3 linked regions of the Sus scrofa genome follow. The protein of the gene in region 3 interacts with the protein of the main gene of each other region in a pairwise test. Links are inferred from orthologs where the notes say so. Each region holds a gene or a part of one and is shown on either strand. Other genes may lie near its edges. The genes, in order: MOB3B, NME7 and NT5C2.

Region 1 (10,222 bases), on a different chromosome or scaffold from region 3:
TTCCTTCTGGGCTTGTGTACTTGCTTTGCTCCATCACCTTTGAACTCTACCAAACCGACTGCTAGAAGATTTGGATTAGAGAATATTGCAAAATGTAACACCTCCATGACTTATCCTCAGTGACTTAATTGCCAAGGTTGTTTATTCTAGGAAAGTTCAGCATATGAAGAGCTTATACAAGCTCCTACAGAGTTAAAACCCTCCTTGTTTCTGTACACACACACACACACACAAGATTGAAATTTCTGGCCCATTTGCTTCTCACCTTGGTTTGTTTGAAATGATACAAAGTGTGTAGATTGGTATTTTATTATTTTAAGAGAGTGAAGATTCATGGTGATATTGGATGGGTGAAATAGATGACCATTAAGCTCTCATTCAACCTTTGAGCTAGGATTTTAATGCAGAGAGCACTGGTTCATTCCTAGTACATATTATGAGATTTCTACATCTAAAAGCATGGAAAAGCCACAGAAAAATACAGTATTTGCCTTTCATTGTTTTTCGTTTTGTGCCTAAAGTGAAATGCATACAGTCAGACTATGGAAGAATTTCACCCTGGATTTTCTCAATAAAGAAGGCCACTTTCTGTTCATTAAGTAAACTAGTCATCTAAATAATATAAGACACTTTGGAGTTCCCTTGTGGCTCAGTAGGTTAGGGATCTGGCATTGCCACTGCAGTGGCTCCATCATTGCTGTGGTGCAGGTTTGATCACTGACCCAGCAACTTCCACATGCCATAAGTGGGACCAAAAAAAAAGAAAAAAAGTGACACTTTAATATACTTAAAAAAAATTTTTTTATGGCCCCACTCTTGGAAGTTCCTGGGCCAGGGACTGAATCTGAGCCACAGCTGAGATCTACAACCTGCAATTCGGAATACTTTTAACCCTCTGCACCAGGCCAGAGATCAAACCCTCCCCTCCACTGCAGTCAGATTCTTAACTCACTGAGCCATGGAGGTAACTCCTATACTTTATCTTTTTGTCTTTTTGTGTGTGTGCATATATCTTTTCAGGGCCGAACCCGCAGCATATGGAGGTTCCCAGGCTAGGGGTCGAATCGGAGCTGTAGCCACCAGCCTATGCCACAGCCACAGAAACACCAGATCCAAGTCACATCTGCAACCTACACCACAGCTCACAGCAACACCGGATCCTTAACCCACTGAGCAAGGCCTGGGATCAAACCCGAATCCTCATAGATACTAGTTGGGCTCATTAACATGGAGCCACAACATGAACTTCCTGCTTAAATGTTCTTATGTGGTCCTTCATTGGTATTAATTCATCTTCAAGCTGAAATAAACTTTCTCCTCCTTTGTCCTCTACCCCATTTCAGAATCATCTACCTTCAAGCAAGAATTAACAGAGAGGGAACCCTCCTGCACTGTTGGTGGGAATGTAAACTGGTACAGCCACTATGGAGAACAGTTTGGAGATACCTTAGAAATCTATACATAAAACTTCCATATGACCCCGCAATCCCACTCTTGGGCATCTATCCGGACAAAACTCTACTTAAAAGAGACACGTGCACCCGCATGTTCATTGCAGCACTATTCACAATAGCCAGGACATGGAAACAACCCAAATGTCCATCGACAGATGATTGGATTCGGAAGAGGTGGTATATATACACAATGGAATACTACTCAGCCATAAAAAAGAATGACATAATGCCATTTGCAGCAACATGGATGGAGCTAGAGAATCTCATCCTGAGTGAAATGAGCCAGAAAGACAAAGACAAATACCATATGATATCACTTATAACTGGAATCTAATATCCAGCACAAATGAACATCTCCTCAGAAAAGAAAATCATGGACTTGGAGAAGAGACTTGTGGCTGCCTGATGGGAGGGGGAGGGAGTGGGAGGGATCGGGAGCTTGGGCTTATCAGACACAACTTAGAATAGATTCACAAGGAGATCCTGCTGAATAGCATTGAGAACTTTGTCTAGATACTCATGTTGCAACAGAAGAAAGGGTGGGGGAAAAATATAATTGTAATGTATACATGTAAGGATAACCTGACCCCCTTGCTGTACAGTGGGAAAATTAAAAAAAAAATATTAAAAAATAAATAAATAAATAAAAGTACCAAATTAGAAGTGTTGAGGTAAATAAAACAGATTTATAAAAGAGGAAAAAAAAAAGAATTAACAGAGAGATTGTGGCTACCCAAATGCACGTTAGAGATGAAATGGACCCAGTTCAGCTCCTGGTTCAGCTTTTGGAAGACCTCTCCTGCTGCTGCGTTAACAGCATGCTTTCAAACTGTTTCGATTCAATATTCATCCAAGCACAGGGCTCAAATGGTATAGCCAACAGAGAAAGTCTTATGATAAAACTGAGGCAAATTCAGTCCAAAAGTTAGAAAAAAATGTTTTAAAAGAACAAGAACTAGTTGTGGATCATGGTCTACTGGTTATCAGTGGAAGGATCAGACAATAAAATGAGTTAGTATAATCCATTTAGTAGAAATAACTCATTAATAGTTCTAAATTTTAAAAAAACGTTTCAAGCTATAAAGGAGCTGGGGCAGGCAAGCTACTCAGCAGAAAGTAAACACTTGATATTTTCCACAAATTTCTCTAACAATGTCTTTACGTGGTTTCCCTAATAATTCTACTGGGACCACGTCAGCTTCTTTAGTCATTTGTGGTTGTCATCTTGCCAAAACGTTTGCAATGCAAGAAGGAAGAGAATTGGCACTTCAAAATCAATAAAGTTTGTCTGATTGTACCGGGAGGGGCAGAAGTCATAACAGGATGCTTTTATTAAGCGCACCACTAGTCAGAAAAAAGGAGAACACTCACTGAAAAATAGGGAAGAACACAGCATCATCACACAAATACGAACAGACAATATGTAAAATGTTTAATCTCATTTGTGATTAAAGAAATTCAAAAGAAGAAAATAAGATACTCCCCTCCCACCAGTGTGGCAGAGATTAAAAAAAAAAAAGAATTGATAATATAGAATAGCAGTGGGGTGTAGGGTAGAGGGGAAAAAAAATCCTCTTGTGTATTAATGAGAGAGGCTAAACGGGCACATGTTTCTTTCTTTCTTTTTTTGCTTTTTAGGGCCTCACCCGTGGCATATGGAGGTTCCCAGCTGGGGGTCGAATCGGAGCAGCTGCCAGCCACAGCTAAAGCAACTCGGGATCTGAGCTGTGTCTGAGACCTACACCACAGCTCACGGCAACGCTGGATCCCCAACCCACTGAGCAGGGTCAGGGATGGAACCCATAACTTCATGGTTCCCTAGTCAGATTCATTTCTGCTGCCCCACGATGGGAACTCCCACACACGTTTACTGTGGGACAATATGGCAATTTTAAATATCCTAAAAAAAGCGCATTAACTCTTTAGATATTAGCTATCCTATCTCCAGAAATTTATTCTAAGGAAATAACTGGATAAGGTTCTTCAGTAAAGTCTTGTTTATCATATCATATCCATTCACTTTTAATTTTCACCTCTGTATTTTCTATTTTTTCCACAGCGATGGGGAAGTTTTGTTTTTTTTTTTAATTCTAAAATAAAGAAACTGTACAAGCTTATCTTTCACTACCATTATCCTGTTTTCCTTACTGGGGCAGACTGGGCGAGACATTGTCCTTTTACCTTTTATTTGGGCCCTGCCCACAAGTTCCTGGGCCAAGGATCAAACCTGTGCCACAGTAGCAATCAGAGCCTCTGCTCTGGCACAGTGGGCTAAGGACAACACCAGATCCTTAGCCCACTGTGCCGCAGGGGAACTCCCCTTCCACTTTGTTAATGATGCCTTTGGATACTTCTTAACCACCTAGGTCCTTCTTGCTCTTCTCCTGCTGCTAAACTTCAAAGGAATCCTTCCTTGGGGATCATTTTCACAATGAAATGTTTGTAAAGTAGCTTCTGGTGCTTCAAAAATCTTGCTTTTTTTCTTCTGTTGGTCCTACTGGAAAGATTCAGAAATTACTGGAGAAAGCGCTCTATGTGACCACAATCCTGCACAGTATAGATTCCAACAGGTGTGCAGACACAATCTCCCTCACAGGCTAAGCGACTCTCTGGACACAATCTGGGAACCCTGCCTTCTCAGAATGGCTACTCTGCTTTTGCCCAAGGTTGCTTTTTTTTTTTTCTCCCCCGAGGTATACCTGGTTTATAATATTATATTAGTTTCAGGCATAAGCCCTAGTTCTTTAATTATTCACAGTTACAAAGAATAAGCACCACGTGTAAGCATCCAACTTACTAGGAAAGGCTGAGAAACCGGGCCACTTGCACTCTCAGGGGCACACTCACAGCGGAACTCGGGGGCAGTTCCAAAACACCAATTGGCAGGAACTTGGAAAGATGAACACCGCTCTAGAGGCGCTGGCGCTGTGTCCTCCGGTTGTGCATGTGCATTCTCTAAATGCTGAGAGGGGACCAGGGATTTAAACATGGAGCCCTACACAAACTCAGAATTCCAGGTTCATTCTGGAGAGAGCCACCTCACTCCCATTTCTAGGCAAAGTCTCGAGGTTTCCTAGGTTATTTCCGTTTCCATTCTGTTGAAGGCGACTCCCCTGACCTTCGGCCCTTGGAAACTCGCGGGCCTCAGAGCCTTAGAGCTGTGTGCCTACCAGACGTGTCTCAATCCTGTCCCACCGCCTGGCAGCTGCCCAGCCACACGCCTTTAGGTGGAGATTGGAATCCACTGGAACCCACCAAAGGTCTCCCCGGATTGGGGTAGAACGCAGCGGCACCCCTCCCGACCTGCGCTCTTAGAGCGCGGTGCGCTCGGGATAAGATCTGAGAAATGCGCCCCGGGCCACAAGCAGCCGAGGAGGCGGAGAAGGAACAACTTTCCCTCCGCCCTTTAACCACAAGGCCCGGGTGGGGCGGCCCCGCTGGGGTCGGGCTCCTCTCCTTCCCCAGGCGGTTCCTGGGCTCTAGCTGGGCGGGTGGCGGGCGTGGGGAGCTGGGGAGGAGAACGAGAGGGGCTTCCTTCTCTCCCTAGCCCGGCCAGATGTTTGAAAGGCAAACAATAGGGGAAACGAGGAGAAACAAAAGGCCATTCGCCACGATCTCAATCGGCTCTGTCGCGTGGTCCCTGCGGGGAAAACGTCCGGGAGGGGTCGGGAAGGTGGGTGAAGGGGGATCTTGAGGAGTTTGGGGTCTCTGGTCACTCGCCTGGCGCCGGGGGTCGGCCCTTTACCCTTCGAGAAGGGTCCAAAGGCAGGAGGAGCGATCAAAGTAAAGTTGAAGGGTTTTCGGTGCAGGGAAAAGGAGGGGCTTGGATTCCAGATGTTTGACAGTTGTTGGCCCAGGGATTCAGCAGGATTTGTACGTCCTTTACACACCCTGTGCCTCTGCGAAGCGTCCACAGTCCCCGAACTGGCCGAGTTCCCCTTCTCAGCCCCAAGCCGAGCCTCCTCCTTCAGTATCAAGACGCCCTAAACATTGCCCCCCTGCCCAGGCGCACTTTTGTAAAACTTTGTCTTCCCGCCTCCCACAGCACAGCACGCACCCTGCAGTCATCTGCGATGCGGGATGGGTTGGCGGACACACTCGAACCCCGAAGGAAGATGGACTTTATTGATAGACCTTTTAAAATCAAGGCCCAGGAGCCCAGGGTGGAGACTGGACTCTAGTTCCTACCCGGGAAGAGAGCGGGAGGAGCCGGCCAGAAGTCAGGACGCGGGTAGGGGTCTGACGCGGATTCCAGCCCCGGAAGCCCGCGGAGGGCGGGCGGGGAAACGGGGTCTGCTGCCTCCCGCCCTCCTGTTGCACCCGCCCCCAGGTGCGCCCCATACCTCCACCCTCCAGGGCGCGACCGGGCGCGAGAGGCTACCGGCTGCGCCACCTCCCCTCGCTGGGAGCGGGTTCTCACTCACCGTGGGGTTTTACCTTCAGCCCCGAGGCCCTGTCGGCTCCTCGCGCCGAGCCAGCTGCAGGCGGAGCAAGAGGAAGAGGGTGAGCTCCAGGCAGGAGTGGCGACGCTCGCGGATCTGGCTGGGGACTCTGGAGCCAAGGCGCCCGTTCTCAGTAAGCGCGCGGGCGTGCGAGCGCGGGGCTCCAGCTGCAGCCGCGGCGGCTCCAAAGCAGCCCCCACGGGCACCCGGCGCGCGGTTATCGTGCGGAGATGCGAATGGGGACCCCTGGCGGCCGCCCGCGGAATGGCAGCTCCGTCGGGAAAGGACTACAGGTCTCCTTTGGTTATCTTACCTCTGAAAAGAGGTGAGGAATGGACAGTCTGAGCTGGGCTCCCAGCCTTGCGGAAAAGACAGTGACCCTTTGACTGAGAAGAGGAAGAAGATATCAGATCAGAAAGGGTGCTCTCTGGGTCCACAATGGCCACACCCAAGGTACCTAGAGGGGGAAATCGCTTACCTTCTTCAAGATTTTCTAACTTGATGAAAAATGCTAGAGGAGAGCCTTAATCATCGGAAAATACCTTCAGATTCTAGCGAATTTTCTAGAACAATCTGGGATTAATGGAATGAGCGTGGACTTTGAAGCCCAGCCCACAGCCTTCTACTTTCTATTTGAGTGATCTTGGGTCTATGACCTCTAAACCTTAGTATGCTCTGTAAATTGGGGAGAGCAGTATCTACGTTGCAGGGGCTGTAAAGTGTCAACTAAACATAGGAAATTTTATTTATTTATTTATTTATTTATTTATTTACAGGGCCACACTTGCCTATATGGAGGTTCCCAGGCTAGGGGTTGAATCAGAGCCACAGCCACAGCAACACGGATCTGAGCTGCATCTGCAACCTATCTACACTTCAGCGTGCAACAGTGTCGGATCCTTAACCCACTAAGCAAGGCCAGGAATCAAACCCACATCCTCATGGCCACTAGTCAGCTTCTTAACCTGCTGAGCCACAGTGGGAACTCCCATAGAAAGTATTTTTAATGCATAGTAAGAGTCATTAAATATAAGCTTCCTGAGGAAAAGAACGTCTTGCACACCTTTTTAGTTCCCATATGATAGTGTCTTAATGCATTTTGATTGAGAAATACCATATTATGAAAGTTTAAAAGTACTGTATGTAGTACTATAGCACTATATATAAAAGTACTATATTTTACAATTTTTTTTTTTTTTTTTGTCTTTTCTAGGGCCTCTCCTGTGGTATATGGAGGTTACCAGGCTAGTGGTTGAATCGGAGCTGTAGCCGCCGGCTTACATCACAGCCGCAGCAATGCTGGATCCGAGCTGCATCTGTGACCTATACCACAGCTCACAGCAACGCCAGATCCCTAACCCACTGAGCGAGGCCAGGGATCGAACTCTCAACCTCATGGTTCCTAGTCGGATTCGTTAACCACTGAGCCATGATGGGAACTCCTATATTTTACAATGATATTTTACAATGGATAAGCAATGAGATCCTGCTGTACAGCACAGGGAACTACATCTAATCAGTTGTGATGGAACATGATGGAAAAAGAAGGTGTATGTATGTATAGCGGGGTCACTTTGCTGTACAGCAGAAATTGACAGAACATTGTAAATCAACTATAGTAAAAATTGTTTTAAAAATTTAGCTGATTACAAATGTTGATTCTATCTGCAACCTGGTTCCCGTTTGTACCATAACATAGTCACATGTTAGGGAGATGGGGATATGGCCATCTGTGGGAACAATTGTTCTGTCCACACACTGCCTTACTCTTTCCATCAGATATAAGCTCCCTGAGACAAGGATGGTTTTTGTTTGAGTTGATTGCTCTATCCCTAGACTAGCTCAATCAATCTATAGAAAATATATAGACATGTGCTATGACCACCCCATCCATATGTGGAAGCCCTAACCCTCAATGTGATAGTATCTGAAGGTGTAGCCTTTGGGAGGTAATTAGTGTTAGGTGAGCTGATGAGGGTGGGGCCCTCATTATGAGATTAGTGGCTTTATATGAAGAAAAAAGAAAAAAACAGGTTGCTATCTCTCTGCCACTTAAGGACAATGGTGAGTAGAGGACCATCTGCAAGACAAGAAGAGATACCTCACCAGGACTCCAATTAGCTGGTACTGTCATCTTTTTTTCTTTTTTAATGGCCATATCTCAGCACACTGTGGGTCCCCGGAGCCAGGAATTGAATCCAAGTCACAGCTACAGCCTAGGCTGCAGCTGCAGCAATGCGGAATCTGGGATCTTTTAACCCACTGTGCTGGTCTGGGGATCTCTCTCTCTTTTTTTTTTTGGTCTTTTTAGGGCTGCACCCTTGGCATATGGAGGTTCCCAGGCTAGGGGTCCCATAGGAGGTGTAGCCGCTTGCCTATGCCACAGCCATAGCAATGAGAGATCTGAGCCGCATCTATGACCTACGCCATAGCTCAGGGCAACGCTGGATCCTTAACCCACTGAGCAAGGCCAGGGATTGAACCAGCATCCTTGTGGACTAATCGGGTTCATTAACTGAGCCACAACAGAAACTCCTGGGCCAGGGATCTAACCAGAACCTCTGCAGCGACCCTAGCCACTGCAATCTGATGCTTAACTCACTGTGCCACAGTAGAAACTCCAGTGGCACTGTAATCTTTGACTTCTCAGTCTCCAGAACTGTGAAAAGTAAATGTCCATGTTTAAGCCACTCAGGAGTATGGCATTTTGTTATAATAGCCTAAATGGACTAATACAGCATTCAATAAATATATCTTGAAATAATTAATGAAAAGCCTTCACCATGGACATTGGAGATACTTAATATATATTAAGCAGCTATAGTATGCCAGGTACTTGCTAGGCATTTTGGAATATCTCGTTTAATTCTCACAAGATCCCTCTGTGGTACATATAGGTACAGAAACTGTAGACTAGAAAGTTGAAGAAACTTGCCCAAGGTCAGGCAGGTAAGTACATCGGGTAGGCAAGCTTTATTTGTTTATTTTTTTTCTTTTTCATTTTACAGCTCCACCTGCTGTATATGGAAGTTCCTGGGCTAGGGGTCGAATCAGAGCTGTAGCTGCAGGCCTATACCACAGCCACAGCAACACCAGATCTGAACTGCATCTGTAACCTGGACCATAGCTTATGGCAATGCCAGATCCTTAACCCACTGAGCAAGACCAAGGATCGAACCTGCCTCCTTATGGACACTCGGCTGGGTTCTTAACCCACTGAGCTACAATGGGAACTCCTCAGATAGGCAGGTTTTAGAGTGGGCAGTGTGACTGAAGCCCATGGCTGTGACCCTCACATTGCACTGCCACTATCACATGGGCAGTTCTAGATCTTGCCCTGAAGATGCTTATGATCTAGTAAAAATGACCCAAGAAACACAAATAGCAATAACAACAAAAAGACTGTGGGGGATAGTGAATGGGAGGTGAACATGTCTTGTGGAGCATAGAGACAGGCTAGATGAATTCTAGATGGAGCCGATTGTAGAGAGCTTCAGGGAGGATGTGGCATTTGAGCTGGGCTTAAGACGGTAGACGTTGTTGGAATCAGATAATAAAGTTGTTTCAGGGAGTTCCCGTTGTGGCTCAGTGGTTAACGAATCCGACTAGGAACCATGAGGTTGTGGGTTCAGTCCCTGCCCTTGCTCAGTGGGTTAAGGATCTGGCGTTGCCCTGAGCTGTGGTGTAGGTTGCAGACACGGCTCAGATCCCGCGTTGCTGTGGCTCTGGCCTAGGCCGGTGGCTAGGCTCCGATTTAATCCCTAGCCTGGGAACCTCCATATGCCGTGGGAGCAGCCCAAGAAATGACAAAAAGACCCCCCCCAAAAAAAAAGTTGTTTCAGATAGAGGGAACCACAGGAGTAAAGGTGCTGGAAGGGAGAAAAATGCCAGATGTGCTCTGGGAACCAAGATTTTAAACTAGTTGGTATGGGAGCTAGGCATGCAGTTAGATGATAAGGGCCGGGATCCCCAAAGCTAGGCTAGAGATCAAAAGAATTTAATGATTTTTGTTTACAGTTATTAATGGAGAAAAATTACCTAAAGGAGCTTCCAAAGTAGTGTCTGAAGCTGTAACTCAACAGGCAACAAATAGAAAAATGAACTTCTTGTTGAGTAAAACCTTTTCAGAGACGGCTACCTCTGTCTGCCACCTTATAAAATGGCAATCACAGACCTATAATTCTGGGTCCAGAGCACAGCCTCAAATATCTGAGACTGAAAAGTTTCTAAAAGAGGAAAAAAATGGATAATGGGAGGAGTTCCCTGGTGGTCTAATGGATAGGATGCAGGGTTTTCACCACTGTTCCTTGATCTGGGAACTGAGAT
Region 2 (10,122 bases), on a different chromosome or scaffold from region 3:
AGACGGTTGCTGGATTTGTTAACCCACATGCAGTTAAGAAAGAATCAGAAGAGAAAATGGTGAAACAATTTTAAGTCAGTAAAAATATAATACTGCACATATTTTAATTAATTATATTTACAAAGCCCACATATTTAAAAGCTGTCTTTACATTCTTCTGTTCCTCCTATTATTAAATCAGTCAATTCAATAGTATTTACCAACATATTAATTAGAATTTTAACAGAAAGATAATGAGTTTTTTTAGAGTTAAACATGATAAGACTTATTCATTTCCCTTTACTTTATAATGGTGTGAATATGGCCAAGTTACTGAACTGTTCTGTAAAGTGGAATCAACATTTATTGTAGACAAATCAGAGTTAATAAATAGAAGTTATAATTGTTATAGCTATTATTATTTTATTTTGTTTGGGTCATATTATTAACCCTGTCTCCCTAATTCATTTATTTTTGCCAGTTTAAATGAAAATTTGTAGTCTTAAACTGAGATGCATATGAAAAGTGCATACCATAAGAATGGCATATAGCATGTACTCAAACAATAAAACTATACATACTTATTACTTGTAAGTAAAGGAACTGTGGTTAGTGTTTCGTTAATCCCATAGACTTTTACCAGTATATTTCATAACGATGTGATTCCTATTTATCTAACATTCCATTTTGGTTTTCCTTTTTTAGAGTTATCCTTTGGTTTTCCTTTTTTAGGAGTCATTCAACACCATGCTGATCCATCCACACCTGTGTAGTAATACCCACAATGAACATCAAGAATTATAAAGTGCTTATAAAGAAGTCTCATAAAAAATATTACTATGGGGGAGTTCCCATAATAGCTCAGCAGTTAATGAACCCGACTAGCATCCATGAGGATGCGGGTTCAATCCCTGGCCTCTCTCAGTGGGTTAAGAATCCTCTCTCAGTGGGTGAAGGTCACAGATGCGGCTCGGATCCCACATTGCTGTGGCTCTGGCATAGGCTGGCATCTACAGCTCCAACTGGACCCCTAGCTTGGGACCCCTAAGGGTCCGATTGGACCCCTAGGGTGTGGCCCTAAAAGAAAATAAAAAATAAAAAATAAAAAAAATATTACTATGGCGGAACTCAGATATTAGGTAATCTGCTAGTTATTTCAGTAGCAAACCTCAAAAAATAGTTTGACAGGTTTTTTCCTATAGAATTAAATAGTTTTTGGAGCTTTTTACACATGCAGCCTTAACTTCCACCAGTGATCCCTATTTTTTCATTACTGCAACAATCACTCCACAAATGCAATGAATCCAAATCAGCACAATACAATTTAATATAAACCACAGAAACCAGAGCAAAGAAAGATGAGCAAAGAATTAAAACTGCATTTCAAATGTAGTTCTTATTAGACTCACAAAGCTGCAAACTCATAAATGTACATTGGAAATTAAAATGTCATTTTAATAATAATAAAAATTGACATTCAGAAGAAAAACATGAGAAGTCTTTGTTTTCTGAATAGCCTGATTTTCAGTTACATCTCCAACTTGTTCTGTCTCTCTTCTCAATCAAAACTGAGGACAAGTCAGAAGAACAAACGTAGCTTTGACAAACGATGGAGAGAGAAGACGAGAGAGACACACAGAAGGAAGGCATCATGCTGCAGTTTCTCCACTTAACAGGAAGAGCCACAAGCAACTGGGGTGGGGAAGGGAAAAGGTAGGAGGCCACTCAGCCAGAAGCTCATCCTCCAAATACAATTTTCAACAATGTAAGTTCATTCAGTCAACAAATTTTTGTGGGGCATCCCCTGCGAATAATTTACTGTTTAAGGCATCACTACAGTGATCTCTAGGGGTGTAGTTATGATTTGAAGACAGATTGTTTCTCTGTATCATAATGTTTTTATATTTTCATAATACTCATACATCCTGTCTTCAATCGATCAATCACTATTTTTCAGACATCTATTATGTCTGTGGATAAAGCTCGAAAATAGAGAACATATATTACAATCTAGACAAAAACATCTTTGCCAACTAGATCAAAAATCTACATTTGAAAACAGGGAGGAAATGAAAAAAAAGGAAAGAGTAGGTAAGTTTCAAACTGTTATACGTTGATTCATTCAGCTAACATGGTGCTTGTAATTTGTGAGGAGATGTGCCCAGTGCCGCAGGAGACATAAAAATGAACTGAGACAGAAAGAAGGCCACCATTTTGCAAGTCCTCTCCATTCTCCTATGATTAAATCTTCCCATTCTTGATTCAGGCAGACACTGGGCTTTAATTTTGCCTCTACTCTGTGACCTTCGGTAAGTTACCTAATATCTCTAAGCCTCAACTTCTCCATCTGTAAAGTGGAGCGAATAATGATATTATTAACTTTTGTCTTAGGCTGTTGTGGGACTTAAATAAATGACTTGTGCAAATCATTTTAACACAATGCCTGACATAAAAATAGCTAACAGATATTAATGCTTATCATGTCTATTATTACTCTACCCCCACTAATCTTATACTTTTCCTCCTTCCTCTTCCTACATATTGCTACCATCCTAATTCAGACTATTTTACTATGTATATTTTAAAAATACTTTAACCACCAAGTCAGCCATGCAGAACAATGGGCTCCTCCCAGTACATAACATTTCACTGTACTTTTGTTCATTCTCATTCCTCTGACCAGCATTCCTCCAACTTGATCCATCCCTGGTAAAAATTCAGTCCATCTTTCATGATCCTGTCAAATATCCTCACAAAGTCTTTCCTATTCTTCTGCAAGAAACAGCTTTACTTTACTCTGAGTTTCTACTGAGCGTATGGTACTCATGACTACTCTTCTCAAGAGGCTAGTTATCCAATACACCAAAGACTTGGATTCTCAGTTCCCAATTAAAAGAATGATGAGGGTGTATAAAAGGTGTGCATCTTTTTCCTCTAGAAAATAATCAGTGTGCAAGATTATGGGCATCGTTTTTTACTTGAGTGAAGAACAAATCATAGAATTTGCTCCACAAAATTCTGAACATGTCATAACACTGAATTGGGTCACTGAAAAGTATCTCCACTGTAGAAACAGGATAGAAACAAGAAATTAGAATTTGGTACCAAGATATACATAATGATCTCAGAATTAAAAAAGAAAAAAGATTACATAATTGATTTCTTACTTTTCTTTCTTACTGCCCAGTTGACGAGCTGTATATTGATCCCCATAGTCAATTAGCACCAGTTGTCGAGAAAAGACATTCACTTTGTTGCCTATAAACAAATCTTCCAAGTGAAGGTCTTCATATTTGGTCCGCTTTAAAAAGGTGCGATGATTCTTTACATCATGCTGGAACCAAAAACACCACAATAAAGCAAATCAATATCAATAGAAAATGTTAATCTTATTATAAACTAGAAATAGTTCTTAATTCTGCTTTATTAAACATGTTACATTCTTTTTCGTTATTGCTACAAATACAAATCATAATTTCTGTTCTAATTTATGGGAGTTCCCTGGTGGCCTAGTCAGGACTCAGCACTTTTACCTCTGTGGCCTAGGTTCAATCCCTGGTCTGGGAAAGGAGATCCCACATCAAGTACCTGCATGCCATGGCCAAAAGGAAAACAAATTTATCCATTTCCTAGTCTAATCCAGTAATAACATAAAAAGTACACATTTAATACTTTTAAAAACCTTGAATAGAACGATTTATGTATTGCCAAACCATTGCCACAAATTGGTAGCTATGAAATCTGAAGAATTCCAAATTTCTCCTTTCTTGCCCATACAAGATCCAAATTACCAAACAGATCCACCTGCAAAAGGGGTTGTCAATGAAGGGACATAAAGTGGGACTCTTTGAGTTCAATCTTCTTCTATTTGGCTTTTCGTAGAGATAACAGTAATGAACAGCACTCAACAACGGTAACATATTTATGATCATGATCATCTTTGTCTATAGCCACTTGCTGATTATTGCTTAGTCCAAAACATGAATAATCCCACTTCAGTTTTCTAACTAAAAAAATAACTTCAGAGTTCCCAATGTGGTGCAGCAGAAACGAATCCGACTAATAACCATGAGGTTGCCGGTTTGATCACTGGCTTCGCTCAGCGGGTTAAGGATCTGGCCTTGCTGTGAGCTGTGGCATAGGTCGCAGAGGCGACTCGGATCCCATGTTGCTGAGGCTGTGGTGTAGGCCGGCAGCTGTAGCTCTGATTGGACCCCTAGCCTGGAAACCTCCATATGCCATGGGTGTGGCCCTAAAAAAAAAAAAAGAAAAAGAAAAATAATAATTTCTATTAAAAATAAAGGTACAAAAGTATCTTCTTATATTGGAATTACAATATCAAAATAAAAAGGATGTATTTTTAAAAGTAACTACAAAAAAGGCAATCCTTTTCCTCTCCCTAGCCCACCTTCATCCTGTTACCCGCTTTTAAGTGAAGAAAGGTTCATTTACCATTTCAACAGATCCATCCCCTGGGTAAAATAAAAGCTCATAACGTCGAAATAGTGAAGCATTTGGATCATACCACTCTGCAATGAAAACGAATCTTTCACTGTGATTCTGCAAAGAGAAGAATTTTAACATGAACATATAAAATATAAGGACTCAAAGTCATACAAATTTAAAGAATCAGTAAATATTTGCAACAAATCTGTTACTACTTATTATATTGAATAATTCTTGTCATACTGAATAGAATTTCAACAATATTACCAGCTATCAAAACACTCAGAAATATTCCTTCTAATTTCTTTTTAAATATCCTTAGATATCTCAAAGATGACATATGAGCTGCTTAATACTTCATGGCCATCCAACCATCCTGAGTAAAATGACAGTTTTTTAGAACATCAACTCCTGATCTGACTACTGTGATAGTTCAGTCCTTCTGAAAGCAAGTTTACACATAGGCAGATGATCAATAAACTAGCATGGGAAAAAAAAATTTCTGAGAGGCTACCCCTAAATTACATGAAGTGTTAACTGACCTAACTTTAAGAATCCAGTCGTATTAGAATATTGTTGTCATTCAATTATAGTAAGTATCTTTTCTCTCCTTAGTAATTTCACATGATAGTATCTTTTACAGAAATAGAGGGAGAATGTGCTAGTCTAGATCCTCCAAGAAGCAGACAAGATGCCAAGATGGGATTAAACATGCAAGAATTTTATTCCTGTAAAAGAAATTCTGTATGGAAAGTTGCTGCAAGGGAAAATAGGGAGGGATCCAGGGGAAGCTGGCAGACCACCATACGAATCTGACCTTGAGGGAAGGAGAGAGAGAAGGAAGGCTGGGTGAAATCCTCCTGGATTGCTAGACAGTCCAAGGAAGGTTCAGTAAGACCATCGGGGAGTGCTCAAGCCAAGAGCCCTCAGATAGTTCCTTGACTCCACAGAGGAGAAGCCTGCTTTAGTAACTCTGCTCCTCTCAGTCACCGAGTGAGCCCTGGGGGAGCATGTGCTAGGTAGAAAAGCAGCAGTAGATTTCAGAGCACAGTAGCTGAGGACCTTTGGTCATTTTGCTACCTCTAGCTGAAGATATGTGAGGTACATACAATGAAAACATAAGTCAAAGATTGGCCCTCTTCCCTCGTCTAGTGAAGGATTTCCCATCCTATGTTATTAATAATATCTTAGCCCTCAAAGATCCCTCATCAAGATAAGCAAATGAAGACACAGGAAGAAAATCTAAGTGTTTTGTTGCTAATTCTGGATTTAGAATTCGATTCTCTGGTTAGGGTATATGAATGGATTCCTTTCATGTTAATAATACACTTACAAATTCTAATAGTAGTATATCTAGTTATATTTATGATATATACTCATCAGCTACAATGTAGGTAGTTTTTAAGACACTCTTTTATTTTTTTCTCATAATCATCCAAAAAGAAACATTTTTTCACTTTTTTTTATATATAATGTTTTTTGGGTTTTTTTAATTATAACTGGTTTGGGAATTTCCAAAATGACACATTTAAACAATGCTTATTAGTCAAGAGAAAATAAAAATGAGATATACTATGACAAGCCTTTCTTCATTTACTATTTTCATTGATCCTTATAAATACAGTTTTTTTATTTTTATTCTTTCAATACAGGTTTTCAAAATGTAGGTTTCACTGTGCATTTTAGTATTGTACTCCCCTTTTAATAAATTTAAATATTAGTAGTTCATTAAAATTTTACTATCTATATTAAAATTTTTTTAATGTTTCTCACATTATTCTCCATCATGTCCCATCACAAGTGACTAGATATAGTTCCCTGTGCAGGAACCCATCACTTATCCATTCTAAATATAATAGTTTGCATCTACTAACCCCAAACTCCCAGTCCATCCCACTCCCTCCCCCTTCCCCTTGGCAATCACAAGTCTGTATTCTATGTCCATGAGTTTGTTTCTCTTCTATGGAAAGATTCATTTGTGCCATATATTAGATTCCAGATATAAGTGATATGTGGTATTTGTCTTTCTGACTTACTTAGTATGAGAGTCTCTAGTTCTATCCATGTTGCTGCAGATGGCACTATTTTGCTCTTTTTTATGGAATTTGCTCAAAAATATCATTGAAATATTGCCTTCACTAAAATAAATAATATATGAGATGGATGAAATGGTGAGACATCTAAGCGAAGGTAAAAGGAGCTCCCATGGTGGCACAGTGGAAACAAATCCGACCAGGAACCATGAGGTTGCAGGTTCGATCCTTGGCCTTGCTCAGTGGGTTAAGGATCTGGCATTGCTGTGGCTCTGGTGTAGGCCAGTGACAACAGCTCCAATTAAATCCCTAGCCTGGGAACTTCCATATGCCGCGGGTGAGGTCTTAAAAAAGACAAAAGACAAAAATAATAATAATAAAAGGGCAAAGAGAGTGAAGCAAATGAAAAACCAATGAAATCTGGCACTTCCAGTTTTCCAGGCAGCTTAACCATAAAATCTGCCAATCACCCTTTAATTCTGAGGCAGACAGAAGAATTTCTCATGATTGGTTATCCAGAAAATAATATAAAGATGATAAACTGAGGAATTACTATTCTAGTTGACAATGTAGCTTATAGCAAATCAATGCTACTATCCAAGAACAACTAGAGAAGTGAGATATTTTTAAAAATCTGTTTGATGACCTTGGAGAGCATTTGAAGCAGCCAGATTTGATGATCTAGATTAAGAAAGACTAGATCTCACTGAGGTTAGCATGGCATTCGTCACGTTGCTTTTACATGAGACTCAAGCTGAATGAGAGACTGAGAAGCTCAAGAAGCTGGTAGAGGAAGGCTTCCAAAAGGCAGAGAAGCCAACAGAGCTTTTGACAAAGTCATAAGGATAAGTAGACAAAAGCTATAATTTGGTCCCACCAAAGAAGCCAGCACTTTAGGGGCAAAGATCCCAGAGAAAAGGAAACAATAGCAATATGAGCTCAAACCTGTTTTTGTTCAATGGAGCATTCAGTATTCTCACAGTGCTGGGGAGAGGGGGAGAGAAAAACAAGAATTCAAACACACCAAAGAGGAGATCCTTGGAAAACTGTTTAGCCTTTCCATTGTGACTCTTGGAGTATTATACTCCAAGAGCATGGGTAAACTAAAGGTAAACTGATCCTTACAAAATTTCAAACAAGTGTTCAATTGAGTGAATTGTATTCACTCAACAGCTTCGTCCTTGATCACACCAAAGTGATACTTCCACCACTCTAGCCCTCTGCATCTCCAGAAATGGCAACACAGCTTTTCATAACCAATGTCAAGCGTTCAAAGGTAACTAAAAAGAAGACCAAAGAAGACGACCAAGAGAAAAAAAACACAATAGAAATAAATCCAGGAATATTCTAGTTATCATCTGACAAAGGCTTCAGAATAACATGATAGATATAAAAAATATAAGCCAATTTAATAATTTCACCAGAGAGCCAGAATATTTATTTTTAATCATTCAGAAATTGAAGAATGAAAATTGACAACATAACATTCTATAACTAGCAACATTACCCTTCAAAAGATGAATATGAAATGAAGATATTTTCATACAAGCAAAAACAGAGAATTTATTGCCAGTGTACCTGCATTAAAAGAAATTCTAGGGGATTCCCACCATGGCTCAGTGGTAATGAACCTGACCAGTTCATAAGGATGAGGCTTTGATCCCTGTCCTTGCTCAGTGGCTTAAGGATCTGGGGCTGCCATGAGCTATGACGTAGGCCCAGCAGCTGTAGCTCCGATTTGACCCCTGGCCTGGGAACTTCCATATGCCATGAGTGCAGCCCCAAAAAGAAAAAAAATAAAGAAAAGAAAAGAAAAAAAGAAAAAGAAATTCTAAAGGGAGTTCTGAAGGAAAAAAGGAAAATGATACCAGATGATCAAAGGAATAGAAGAAAGTACTAAAAAAAAAAAAAAAAAAAAAAATGGAGATGTAAAATGTGGGTAAATCTAAATAAATAATGTAATACAAAATAATAATAATGTCTTGTGGGATACAAAACAAGTAGAATTTGAATGCAGGCCAGTAAGAATATAAAGGGTGCGAGGGAAAACGACAGTCTGAATTATGTGAAACCAAAGTATCTCCTATATCAGTTGCTCCACCTGTTCTCTAATTCCAATGAACATCAGTGAAGAGAATGTCTCTTAAGAAAACAGGCAAACAAACTAAAGATGTTCTGTTCAATTTTTCACCCTCTGTTCTATTAGAATGACTTTTCTTCATCTCTTACTTCTCAGACAAGAGAAAAACAATTCCCAAAGTGTTTAATAAATCAGTGCCATTCAAACTTTAAGAAATTAAAAACTATTAATTTTGACTATAACAACAATAATTTTTAAAGTATCTACTAAGTAGCAATTATTTCATTTCATTCTCACAACAATGTAGGGTGACAGAAATAGGGATGCTACTTCATAGACAAGGACAGCAAAGCTCAGAAAATTTGAACACTGGTCCAAGGTTAAACAGCAAAGAAAGAAGTAAGTCAGAACTCAAACTTTGGTCCCTCAAACTTTGCAAAGCTAATGTTTTGTCCTGTTAAACAGCAATGCCTATGTAAAATGATACAAAAGTCATTCAGTGAGCCTAAACTAATGATGAACTGAGTTATTTAACTATCTAAGTTAAATAATTCTATACAGGATCAAGTTTTATCATCTTTAATAATCATGTAGGAGAAAGGGAATGGATTATTACAAAATGGGATAAGGAAATCAGGTTGATCCCTGTGATATCAAACATATTTAACAAAATATCTCTCTGCAATTATATCCCAATTCAAGAATCTTAAGAAATCAAGAGTCAGTGAAGTGTGGTTTAAGATGCTAATTTTTCTTCTTTATGGCCGCACCCACAACATATGAAGGTTCTTGGGTCAGGGAGCAAATCTGAGCCAGAGATGCAGCCGAGGCTACAGTTGCAGCAATACTGGATCCTTAACCCACCATTCCACGCCAAGGATCAAACCCATCCCACCACAGAAACAATCTGGCATCCTTAACCAGCTGCGCCATGGCAGGAATTGCAAGATGCCAAAATTCTTTTATAAAGCTGATGTTATTTAGGAAATTACAGAAAGTATATATTGTATTGCCCATAAGTTGCTGCTTTGAAACCATTTTCACTGTGAGCTCTAGATATTCTAATATAATCATCACCTCTTTAAAAAAATAAAATAAAAACAATTACTTTTTATTGTAAAAGAAAAAAAGTAAATTGATACCAGAGGTCACGCTTTTGGGGAGAAGAAATAGAGTTGTATTAACTTTAAAATCCCATCAAAAACCAACAACCTGGGGTTCCTGTCGTGACGCCGTGGTTACCGGATCCGACTAGGAACCATGAGGCTGTGGGTTCGATCCCTGGCCTTGCTCAGTAGGTTAAGGATCTGGCGTTGCCATGAGCTGTGGTGTAGGTCACAGACGTGGCTTGGATCCTGCATTGCTGTGGCTCTGGTGTAGGCTGGTGGCTACAGCTCCAATTAGACCCCTAGCCTGGGAACCTCCATATGCCGCAGGAGTGACCCTAGAAAAGGCAAAAAGACAAAAAAAAAAAAAAAAAAAAAAAACCAACAACCCAATGAGGTTTGAAGGAACAGTTTGTCACACTAGAAATCAGTTAAATAAATCTCTGATAAATAACCATCACACCAAAAAGATAATAAC
Region 3 (10,122 bases):
ACACGTGGCCTTGGTTAAGTCTCAGCAGCCTTGTCACAGTAGATATTATCCTCATTTTCACATCTGAGGATCTAAGGTGCAGGGTGTCTCAGTAACTTGCCTAAGAGCATGAAGATATTAGGTGGTGGAGTCAGGGGAACCACCTGAGGCAGGCTGAGTTTCCAGAGGCAGGATCTTCCACCACACTGTGAGTGCTGCTAGCCAGGGCTGGCTGGAAAACTGGTATGTATGTCAAACATCTTTACATAGCTAGAGTTACAGCCCAGTTCAGTGCACGCAGTATAACTGAGCTCAGAGAATGCTTCTTTCTCTACTGCTCAGAAGAAGAAATTAAAAACACCAAGTAATAAACACTCAGAACCACCAATGCCCAGAATCAGCCAGGAGCTGGTAGCAGAGACTGGAACTAGCAGGCATGGGTGGACGAATAAGGGGCTATAAAGGAAAGCAGAGCTCATGGTTTAGGTGCTACTGTAACATAACTCAGAACAGAAACACCCTCTACTTAACTTTGAAGGGACAGATTCAAGAAGGCTAAGACAACCTCTCAAAATTTGGCATTTCTATGAATTATCTGGTTATATGAGGAGGAGGTGTCCAAACACAGGGGCCCATCTTTTTACTCCCTCTGACCCCCTGCATTTAAAGTACTGGTCATCAAAGCAGACTGACTGATAGCTAGCTATTCAGATATAAACTAGTTATGTCAAAGATTTATAAAGAGTAATGGTTCCTTACAACTCTTATCAGTCCACACATGCAGCTCCTGTGCAAGTTCAGGAATCACCAAGAAAGTTCTCCAGCCTTGCCGTTTCTTTGATTTTAAAATGTCCCCAAAAATGTGATCTCCAATATACAAAATGTCTTTGCCCTTGGCTCCCAACAGATCACAGATGGTATCAGAAGAACCTGAAACAATGGAATAAACAATGAGAAAACAAAATGTCTCCATCTTAAAAACCAGCATTCCAAGCACCATAACCATTAAGTACTGCACAGATTCTTTTAATTATGTGAGGAGCAGATTAGAAAAAGGGCTCACCTTCTTAAAGACAAAGACTCACCACTGTATTTTTTCATTATCCTTTTTATTGCCTCTAAGACAAGGCCTTTAGCTTCACTGCGCTGACCAGAGCTCTTGATCACCAAATCCAGGAGCAACAAAACTACATGTCTCAGCTTTAGGGAATATAATCCTCCAAAGTACCACCACCATTCTCATCACAGATCTGCCATTAAGCTGGCTTTGTTCGAATGTTTCTCACTCCAACAAAATATGCATCTGTGTCCACAGGGGCTCCTAAAAATCCCTTGAAGACACTTTGGGAATCACCCCCACATGATTCTAGACACTGAGAAAATGTTTCAAATAGGTAAAAGGAGGATGGGAAAAAAAGCAAAACAAAACCAAAAACCTGATCCTTTCAGTGAAAATCCAAGATTCATTAGCAGATACTAAGATCTTAAACCCATTCTCCCTGACTCGTATTAGCAAGTGACTGACATGTTTACCTTCAGTAGATGATATCTTTAGAATACTCAAGGGTATATGAGGTGCTGTCCCAGGAGGACACCAAAGCTTTCGCGGTGAGGTCTGAGCCAAGACTTAGACTAAATTAAAGGGTAGTATGGGACTCACCCCCTGAGTAGACGATGCCATGCTGTAAGGGGCCCGTGTAAGTACCAATTTTCAGCTTGCCAGTTTTCTGTGAAAAGAGAATATGAACTTTGTAATGCTTTATTATTCTATCACCATCTCCACCAAGATGCTACTTGGCTAGACAGCCAAATGAATGTTACTTTTGAACTTTATTCATTTGAATTATTCAGCTATCTTAAGACCAAAACTCTTAGATGAATTTCAAAGAGCGATGGCAAATAAATTAAAAATACCTGTTTCCTTAGGGAGAGTAGGAGTGGGGGAAGGAGAAATATGAAGGATAATGTGCTCACAGACAGACCATCCTCTCTCAACTTACAGTATCCACCTGACGCAGTACTGTGCCTTCTCCAAAAAAGAGTGGTTTCCGTGCGTCCACCAAGATCAGGTCAAAGTAGGACTGCCATGGTCGATGGGAGCTGCCAGGCTGATAAGGGAGAAACAGCAAAAGCCAACACATCACTCCTAACTTTAGGGCACTCGTATTTAATCTCACTCAGATGAAAGGAATGTAGAAATACTAAGTGTAACCAGAAAACCACACTTATTAAAAACATAGTGTAGCTAATTATAAGCCACATCCTTTTGGAAGCAGGCAAAGTGAAAATATAATGACTCTAACAATCTATTTTAAATCATTTCACCCTACTAATTTACTTCAAGCAATTTAACATATCAAAGAAGGTGTGTTCATACTCTAAAATGGGCTGTAAGAGGCTCACAGGGGCTAAGGAGAGACGTAAGACATATAAAGAAACATTAGGAAATAGGCAGATTAGCATCAGAACTGCAGTACACAACTAACATGGAACTATTAATAGCAAATTTCCTGGGTTATGTTCTCAGAATGATGGCTCCAGGTACACATTGGCCTTTGGCTTATACTGCAGGCTAATCACAGCACTAATGTAGAAGGTATGCCCATTAACATTATTTCCATCCTCAACTGGAACCACAGCATTAACCTTTTAAGGTCAAGCTGAAGAGCACTGCATACTGTCCTTATGAGTGATATCAACATGAGTTATTTACTGATGTATATTTATTTAAAGAGGCCTAGTGACTAAACTGCAATGTGTATTCCTTAGATCTAGGTATAATAGTGCAGGAATGATACTACCTGCTAAGCATCAAGGTTAGCTGTTCTCTTGGCATAAAACGCAGCAATAAGAGCAGAATCTAGAAGTTGTCAAGATTATACACATTTTCTCCTTCTCAGATTATCTTCCTCAACCTGAAAATTCCTTTCACTGCCACACAAATTTAAAAATTCTGTACAGAGCTTCTTGGGCATAAAGTTATTCTGATCCTACCCTATTAAATACCACAGGAATCTCTTATTTCTGTCTACCAAGTTTTCAAATTGCTAGCAACTTTATCCTAACTCCTGTGTTACTGCTAATCATATTAATGAAGATTTCTACATGGCTCCTGATCAATTCCTTACCCTCAATATTTCAGGATGATTAAACAGATTATTACTAAAGCAACAGTCTATTAAGTTACATAGAGTACCTTGGGGCCATGTGGGAAATCAAACAGGTAAGTCATAATTTTCTGGAAAGAAAAAAAATTCAACATAAGGTCCATATACTACTTCTGTAAGAGATATCTGACACCTAAAAAAATCACACACAAACTTTTTATAAAACATGTCTTTTTCAGTATAGGATTCATCACATTCTTGTTACCTCTAAAGTTTATGAGATAGTAATGTAAACCAAAAATTAATGCTCGATCTTAACAAACAAAAGCAAGCTTCTGACATTCTCAGTAGAACATTGGCTTCTTCTAGGAGATAATTTTGTACAGACTCACCTATATCCAATTTTCCTAGTAGACTGGAACATATATTTGGAGGTAAGGGGTATGTGAGATATGGGTGTAGGAAAAACTAATAACTCACATGGAAATGACACACCCTGGCCTTCCTACTGCTTGTTCCAACTTGCTTACTCTGAATTATCACATCTCTAAATCAACATTTTACATAACGAGGATTAGGGAACGCTGAGTTTCTTGCTAGTACTATGAACTTGTAACTGCCTTAGCAAAAGTATATGAGATTAAGGAGTTAAATCGACTTTTCTGTATGCTTTAATCATTGCAAAAAATTTTTATAATGATTTTTATTTTTTCCATTATAGATGGTTTACAAAATTTTTTTTAAAGTTATCAGGTATTAAATTTGATGGCTCAGAGTCAAGACATCTTTGCACCATCTATTACTGTCTGGCTCCCAAAAGCAGGGAGGGTATGAACATACATATGTGCAATAAAGGGTGTGATTTCTCAAGTTTTAGAAATGACAAAGAAGACATTTTAATCAGCATGAATGTTTTAAACACCCCCAAAATGAAAACCTTCAAGTAGCCAACTGTAATCAGGGAAAATAGTCAAAAGAAATATTTAGAAAAATTTGAGAACCACTCTGATGCATGCCGTATTTTTGCTTTTTTCATTTCTGTTTTCAGAATGAAATGGCAAAAAAATTACTCTACTTAAAAACCACCTTTCTCATTATTTTTACAGTCTTCAGTCCAAAATAATTTCTTTGTATAAATAAACAAATATGAATATTTAGCACTTACATCTGTATATTTATAGTCACTGTTCGTGGCAAGAAATACTTTCCCTACTTCCTTCATCCGGCTCAGAAGCAAAGGCAGTTTTCCCTGGAATGTAATTATGATGATAAGCAAAACATTAAAACGCACAGATCTTCCTCCACTTATGATGGGGTTATGTCCTGATAATGCACCGACCATGACAGCCTAGCCTACCTTAAATGTGCCAAGAACATACATTAGTCGACAGGTGAGCAAAATCATCTAACACAAAGTCTATTTTAAAATAAAGTGGAGTCGGAGTTCCCATTGTGGCTCAGTGGTTAACGAATCTGACTAGGAACCATGAGGTTTTGGGTTCGATCCCTGGCCTCGCTCAGTGGGTTTAGGATCCAGCGCTGCTATGAGCTGTGGTGTGGTCTGGCGGCTGCAGCTCCGATTGGACCCCTAGCCTGGGAACCTCCATATGCTGTGAGAGCGGCCCTAGAAAAGGCAAAAAGACAGAAAACAAGTAAATAAATAAATTAATTAATTAATTAATTAATAAAATAAAGTGGAGTTCCCATTGTGGTGCAGTGGTTAACGAATCTGACTAGGAACTATGAGGTTGCAGGTTCGATCCCTGGCCTTGCTCAGTGGGTTAAGGATCTGGCGTTGCTGTGAGCTGTGGTGTAGGTTGCAGATGTGGCTCGGATCCCACATTGCTGTGGCTCTGGTGTAGGCAGGCGGCTACAGCTCCTATTAGACTCCTAGACTGGGAACCTCCCTATGCCGTGGGAGAGGCCCTAGAAAAGGCAAAAAGACAAAAATAAATAAATAATAAAGTGTTGACTATCTCATATAATTTATGGAATACTGCAAGTGAAAAGAGGAATGGCTAGATAAGTTGCTGACCCCTGAGATGGCGTGGCTGACCGGAAGCTATAGCTCAGTGCTGTGGCCCAGCATCATGAGAGTACTGCAGGGCATATCAATAGCCTGGAAAAGGATCAGAATTCAGTTTACCTGGCATACAGTTTTCACTGAATGTGTATCACTTTCACACCATTTTAAAGGCAAAAACTCTTAAGTCTGGGACTATCAGTATATATTAAATTACGCTGGGACTATCAGTATATATTAAGTCCAGAAGTCAAATACTGGACTTTTGTCCAATGAAATAGGAAGAGGGAATGCCTTTTACAGGGTGGGTGGTTGGTTGGTTGGTTTTATAATTTTGCCTTTAGAAGACCATTATCATTATGCGGGAATTATGTACTATATACATAGAATATACATGGACTGAATAGATTTCTATATGAAATATAGAAATGCTTATATGCTTATTAAAAACATGTCTCTAAATTCCTCATTATATCCACCTCAGGAAAGAGTTTAAATTACCTTGTAATCTCTTAAAGTAAGTGAATTAAGTGTGTCAGCGATCAGTAGAAGCTGATTTTAAACATCAGCTAAATATCCTAGATGAAGAGTATCAGATACGGCTTCACTGTGTATACTTTCATTTTATGAAATACCTTGAGAATGACATGATGTGTATAGGATGCAACCTACAAATGCCCAGACCCACCTGCAGATGTATGAGGAAATTCTAACTCCTGATGTGACCAGAAAGAACAATAGCCTTTCCTTCTCTCACAGTAAATAAATTCCTTCACTCAAATCCTCCGGAACCTCTCCTGAACCCCTCAATGTTCCTTTTTCTTTTTCTTTTTTGCTGTGCCTGTAGCATGTGGCAGTTCACAGGCCAGAGATTGAACCTATACCACAGCAGTGACCTGAGACACTGCAGTGACAATGCCAAATCCTAACTGACTGAGGCACATGGGACCTCCCTGAAATCAAATAATCTTTACAAAGTACTTTGGGAAAATACTGCATTCTGCTACTTTTACTCGGTAAGAAAAGAAAGAAGTATCTGATCTCAGTGCTATACATATGTCTGTGTGTACTTTCTATTTTGAAATAATTTCCAACTTACAGAAAAGTTATGAAAATAATACAGAGGGTTCCCATACATTCTTCATCCAACTTCCCTTAACATTAACATTTTAATCCCAGTATAATAATCGAAGTTAAGAAATTAATACTGGCACAATGCTCTTAACTAAATTACAAATACTAAAAAATTCTATTAGGAAGTTCCCGCTGTGGCACAGCGGAAACAAATCCAACTAGTAACCATGAGGTTGTGTGTTCGATCCCTGGCCTTGCTCAGTGGGTTAAGGACCTGGCATTGCTGTGAGCTGTGGTGTAGGTTGCAGACATGGCTTGGATCCCCTGCTGGTGTGGCTGTGGCCTAGACCAGTGGCTACAGCTCCTATTTGACCCCTAGCCTGGGAACTTCCATATGCCACAGGAAAAAATAAAATAAATAAATAAAACTTGTATTAGATTTTCCACTAATGTCTTTTGAAACTTTCCTCCTTATTCCCTGTTGATAGGTTAAAGACAATTTCAATAACTGTCACACATAGGTACATTTTTGAGATGATCTAACACTGTGGTTATGATCCAGTTACATTTAGGTGTGACTCCTGACTTTACTACTTACTAACTGTATGAACTTGGACAATTTATTTAATCCTCCTAGTCCCCAGTTTCTTCAACTATAAAGCACAGGGAACAATATCAATTCAGGGTTATATGGAAGATTAAATGGGATAATGCATGTAATCACTTAGCTCAGTGAAGTGCCTACAGTAATGACTCTAGCTGCTATTATTATAATCAGAGCTAAAAGGACAAATGAAATGCTGGGTCTTGCCTATCAAAAACAGGATAAACTGGAGTTCCCATCGTGGCTCAGTGGCTGACGAATCTGACTAGGAACCATGAAGTTGAGGGTTCGATCCCTGGCCTCACTCAGTGGGTTAAGGATCCAGTGTTACCCTGAGCTGTGGTGTAGGTTGCAGATGAGGCTCGGATCCCGCGTTGCTGTGGCTCTAGTGTAGGCTGGAGGCTACAGCTCCAATTAGACCCCTAGCCTGAAACCTCCATATGCTGTAGGTGTGGTGCTTGAAAAGACAAAAAAAAAACCAAACAAACAAAACAAAACAAAACAAAACAAAAAAAACAGGAAAAACTAAGACCCACACTCTAGCTGAAAACTCTAGGTGACTATACTTAGTATGTTTTAAACTGCCAAGACAGAGAAATATCTGCCCTTGTCCACTGCATTATAAATAGGGTTGTTATTAATTTCCCTAATAGGTAAAGTTATCATGTAGCTCTATTTTTCCCTTTATTACTTACATCTTTGACTACATACTTCTCAAGATTTTCAACTGTCTTTTCCTTAAGGGAGCCCTAGAGGAAGAAAAAAAGGAAATAAGAACAAAATCAACTTTTAAGTCCATTAGAAAAATCATGTCTACTATAAGCCTAGTAATTTCAAGATGGAGAAGTAGACAAACTAAAGAAGGCCAGGATAAAGTGGCAGATGTGATCTGACGCAACTAGGCCTCAAAAAATGTGTTTAAAATATAAAACTATTTTTATTTTTAAACTAGAAATCAAAAGGTATTTCATATTCTATTCAGTATAGTTTATAATAAATGTAAACATAATATTCATTAGTTAATGTTATCAGCCAAATCAGAGGTATTCGGAAAAAACAAATGAACCATAAGCCATCATCAAAAGATATGTTTAGTATAATCCTAACACTAAAATCTCTTCTAGTAAGTTTGGGAAATGCAAAGTGAAATAAGATCTCCAGGCACCACCCCTGAGGAAAGAACAGCATTACCTCTGTAAACAGGACAGCCAAAGATAAGGACAAATGTATTCTAGAGAGTTATCCCCAGGGGGGAATCCCCAATCCCCTCTTTTTTTAACAGACAAAAAATTATGCTCTATCTGCACTTGGAAAGTTAATGTCAGATCATAAAAAACACATGCCAGACAGTAAACAGGTGAAGAAGCAGCTCCTAGGTACCTTGTAATGAACCCAGTCAACCGCATCTCTTACATCCTGGAACATACTCCGGTAAGACATGAAGAGGTCCCCATCTTTAAATCCTGTTTCACAGCTACAGAAGGATGCAAAGAACATGACAGGGAATCCAAAAGAGGGTAAATAAAGTGAATATCAAACACTGCCCAGGGGACCCAAAGGTTCCACTGCCACATGATAAAGGATGTTCGGCTAATTTGGAAAATAATTACCCCTTAATGAAAATCCATTTTGACCACCAGAGATGACTATAGGGTTCAACGGAATACAATAACTCTGAACAGATACAAAACGGTAGAAGAATATACTGAATGGAAGTGAAAAGGCCAGTTCCAAAATTATCCAGTTCTTTTATCCAACACTTTTAAGAAACAAGTTTCCATCAAAGAAACATTTTAAATGGGTAATTTAGGTTCTCTCCACCCTGACTTTTCCGTCATTGTCTCTAGGTACAAAGGTATTGCCTATTTTCTCTTTATCTAAGTGACTTAGTGCTCCACTAAATTTAGTGCCTTGAAGTAGATAAGGCCTAAAGAGGATAAGAAGTTAGCAACTCTAGTACATACGGCTGAACTTACAATTCCTCCTAGAAAGGAAATAACAACTTGTTCAAGACTTAGGCAAAATTCTACTTCAGGGAGGATAAACATTATTTATTCCTTAATCAAATTTTGCTGGGCCTGGGAATGAAACTAAATTACCATCCCTGAATGGCTCCTGGGTAGCTGCTGTGAAATGAGTCGGGGGGTTTTAGTGCAATTCTGCTTGGACAGATAATCATCACACAAACCTCCCACTCAGTTGTCACAATTAGCACCTCTGCTGGCCGTCTTCATTCCCAGGAGAAGCCAATCAGAAGTGGTCCCTTCCAAACATGGCTGCAGCACACTGGCAAGGAGGGGGCCGTGTGGGAGGTGAGAGCCTGCATGGAGCTGCTGGTGCTGTCCCATCTCTCAGGCTGGCAATGTGGCATCTCTCACTAGCACTAAATTCACTTCAGAAAAGCAGAAAAGACCTACAATGGCCAGTTCTCTAAAACCCTGTACATTAATTTAAAAAAAATCAATTGGAAAAAGAAAATTATACTATATACATACCTGGTATATCTGGGACAATTAGTAAAAAAATCTACTAGGCAGGCCAACAGGTAGGTCTCTGAAAAATGAAGAATAGATATTCATAAGCTATAAGTGAGATAATTAAAACTTGTTTCATTATCTCCCCTTGAGCAAAGACCAACAAATTGATTGTGGAAAGAAGGAAACATATCAGTATAGAAGCACAGAAGGAGTCTACCTGGTAGGTTGAATAGTGTGTTCAGAATGTAAAATCTTTCAGTGTCATCTCGTTGGATAAATTTATTTGGATACTGCTCTCTAGTTTCTGGTCTGAAAGAAAAAAAATTTAAATTAACTGACATTCAAACATAGCACAGTAGAGAGTTCCCGTCGTGGAACCATGAGGTTGTGGGTTCAATCCCTGACCTTGCTCAGTGGATTGAGGATCTGGCATTGCTGTGAGCTGTGGTATACTTCGCAGACGCAGCCCAGATCCCGAGTTGCTGTGGCTCTGGTGAAGGACGATGGCTATAGCTCCGATTAGACCCCTAGCCTGGGAACCTCCATATGCTTCGGGAGTGGCTCTAGAAAAGGCAAAAAAAAAACACACCAAAAAAACAAACAAAAAAAACCCATAGCACTATAATAACTGAAAAATATTCATCATTCAAAAATTAATTCAAATATTTTGGTGGCTACATGCAAGACAGGGTTCCAAATAATACACATGGGTCACTCTTAAAGATAAACAAGCTTGGTTCTAGCCCCTAAAAAGTTCTCAATCTGGTAAGGGAGGTGAGTCACATACACAATTATAATAAGGTAAAACATCACAACTACCACAAGAAAGGTGCAAAGATGAGAAAACAGAGGAAAGGG

Evidence for each region.
Region 1: the proteins of NT5C2 (region 3) and MOB3B interact in binary tests that used the Homo sapiens proteins (3 or more experiments, as listed by UniProt). The two-hybrid records come from large-scale screens. The link is inferred for Sus scrofa from reciprocal best matches to the Homo sapiens genes NT5C2 and MOB3B.
Region 2: the proteins of NT5C2 (region 3) and NME7 interact in binary tests that used the Homo sapiens proteins (3 or more experiments, as listed by UniProt). The two-hybrid records come from large-scale screens. The link is inferred for Sus scrofa from reciprocal best matches to the Homo sapiens genes NT5C2 and NME7.

The regions. Positions count from the first base shown.
Region 1 is NC_010452.4:38,434,226-38,444,447, reverse strand, and holds the start of MOB3B (MOB kinase activator 3B), read right to left. Parts: upstream 6,516-10,222; 5' UTR 5,879-6,515; intron 5,812-5,878; exon of another isoform or gene 4,252-5,811; intron 1-4,251. UniProt on the Homo sapiens protein: Modulates LATS1 expression in the Hippo signaling pathway which plays a pivotal role in organ size control and tumor suppression by restricting proliferation and promoting apoptosis.
Region 2 is NC_010446.5:81,689,037-81,699,158, reverse strand, and holds part of NME7 (nucleoside diphosphate kinase 7), read right to left. Parts: intron 4,540-10,122; coding exon 4,432-4,539; intron 3,314-4,431; coding exon 3,147-3,313; intron 1-3,146. UniProt on the Homo sapiens protein: Possesses an intrinsic kinase activity. Displays 3'-5' exonuclease activity with a preference for single-stranded DNA. Does not seem to have nucleoside diphosphate kinase activity.
Region 3 is NC_010456.5:114,065,711-114,075,832, forward strand, and holds part of NT5C2 (cytosolic purine 5'-nucleotidase), read right to left. Parts: intron 9,574-10,122; coding exon 9,482-9,573; intron 9,341-9,481; coding exon 9,283-9,340; intron 9,180-9,282; exon of another isoform or gene 8,976-9,179; intron 8,262-8,975; coding exon 8,168-8,261; intron 7,537-8,167; coding exon 7,483-7,536; intron 4,336-7,482; coding exon 4,252-4,335; intron 3,218-4,251; coding exon 3,176-3,217; intron 2,088-3,175; coding exon 1,980-2,087; intron 1,707-1,979; coding exon 1,640-1,706; exon of another isoform or gene 910-1,639; coding exon 739-909; intron 1-738. UniProt on the Homo sapiens protein: Broad specificity cytosolic 5'-nucleotidase that catalyzes the dephosphorylation of 6-hydroxypurine nucleoside 5'-monophosphates.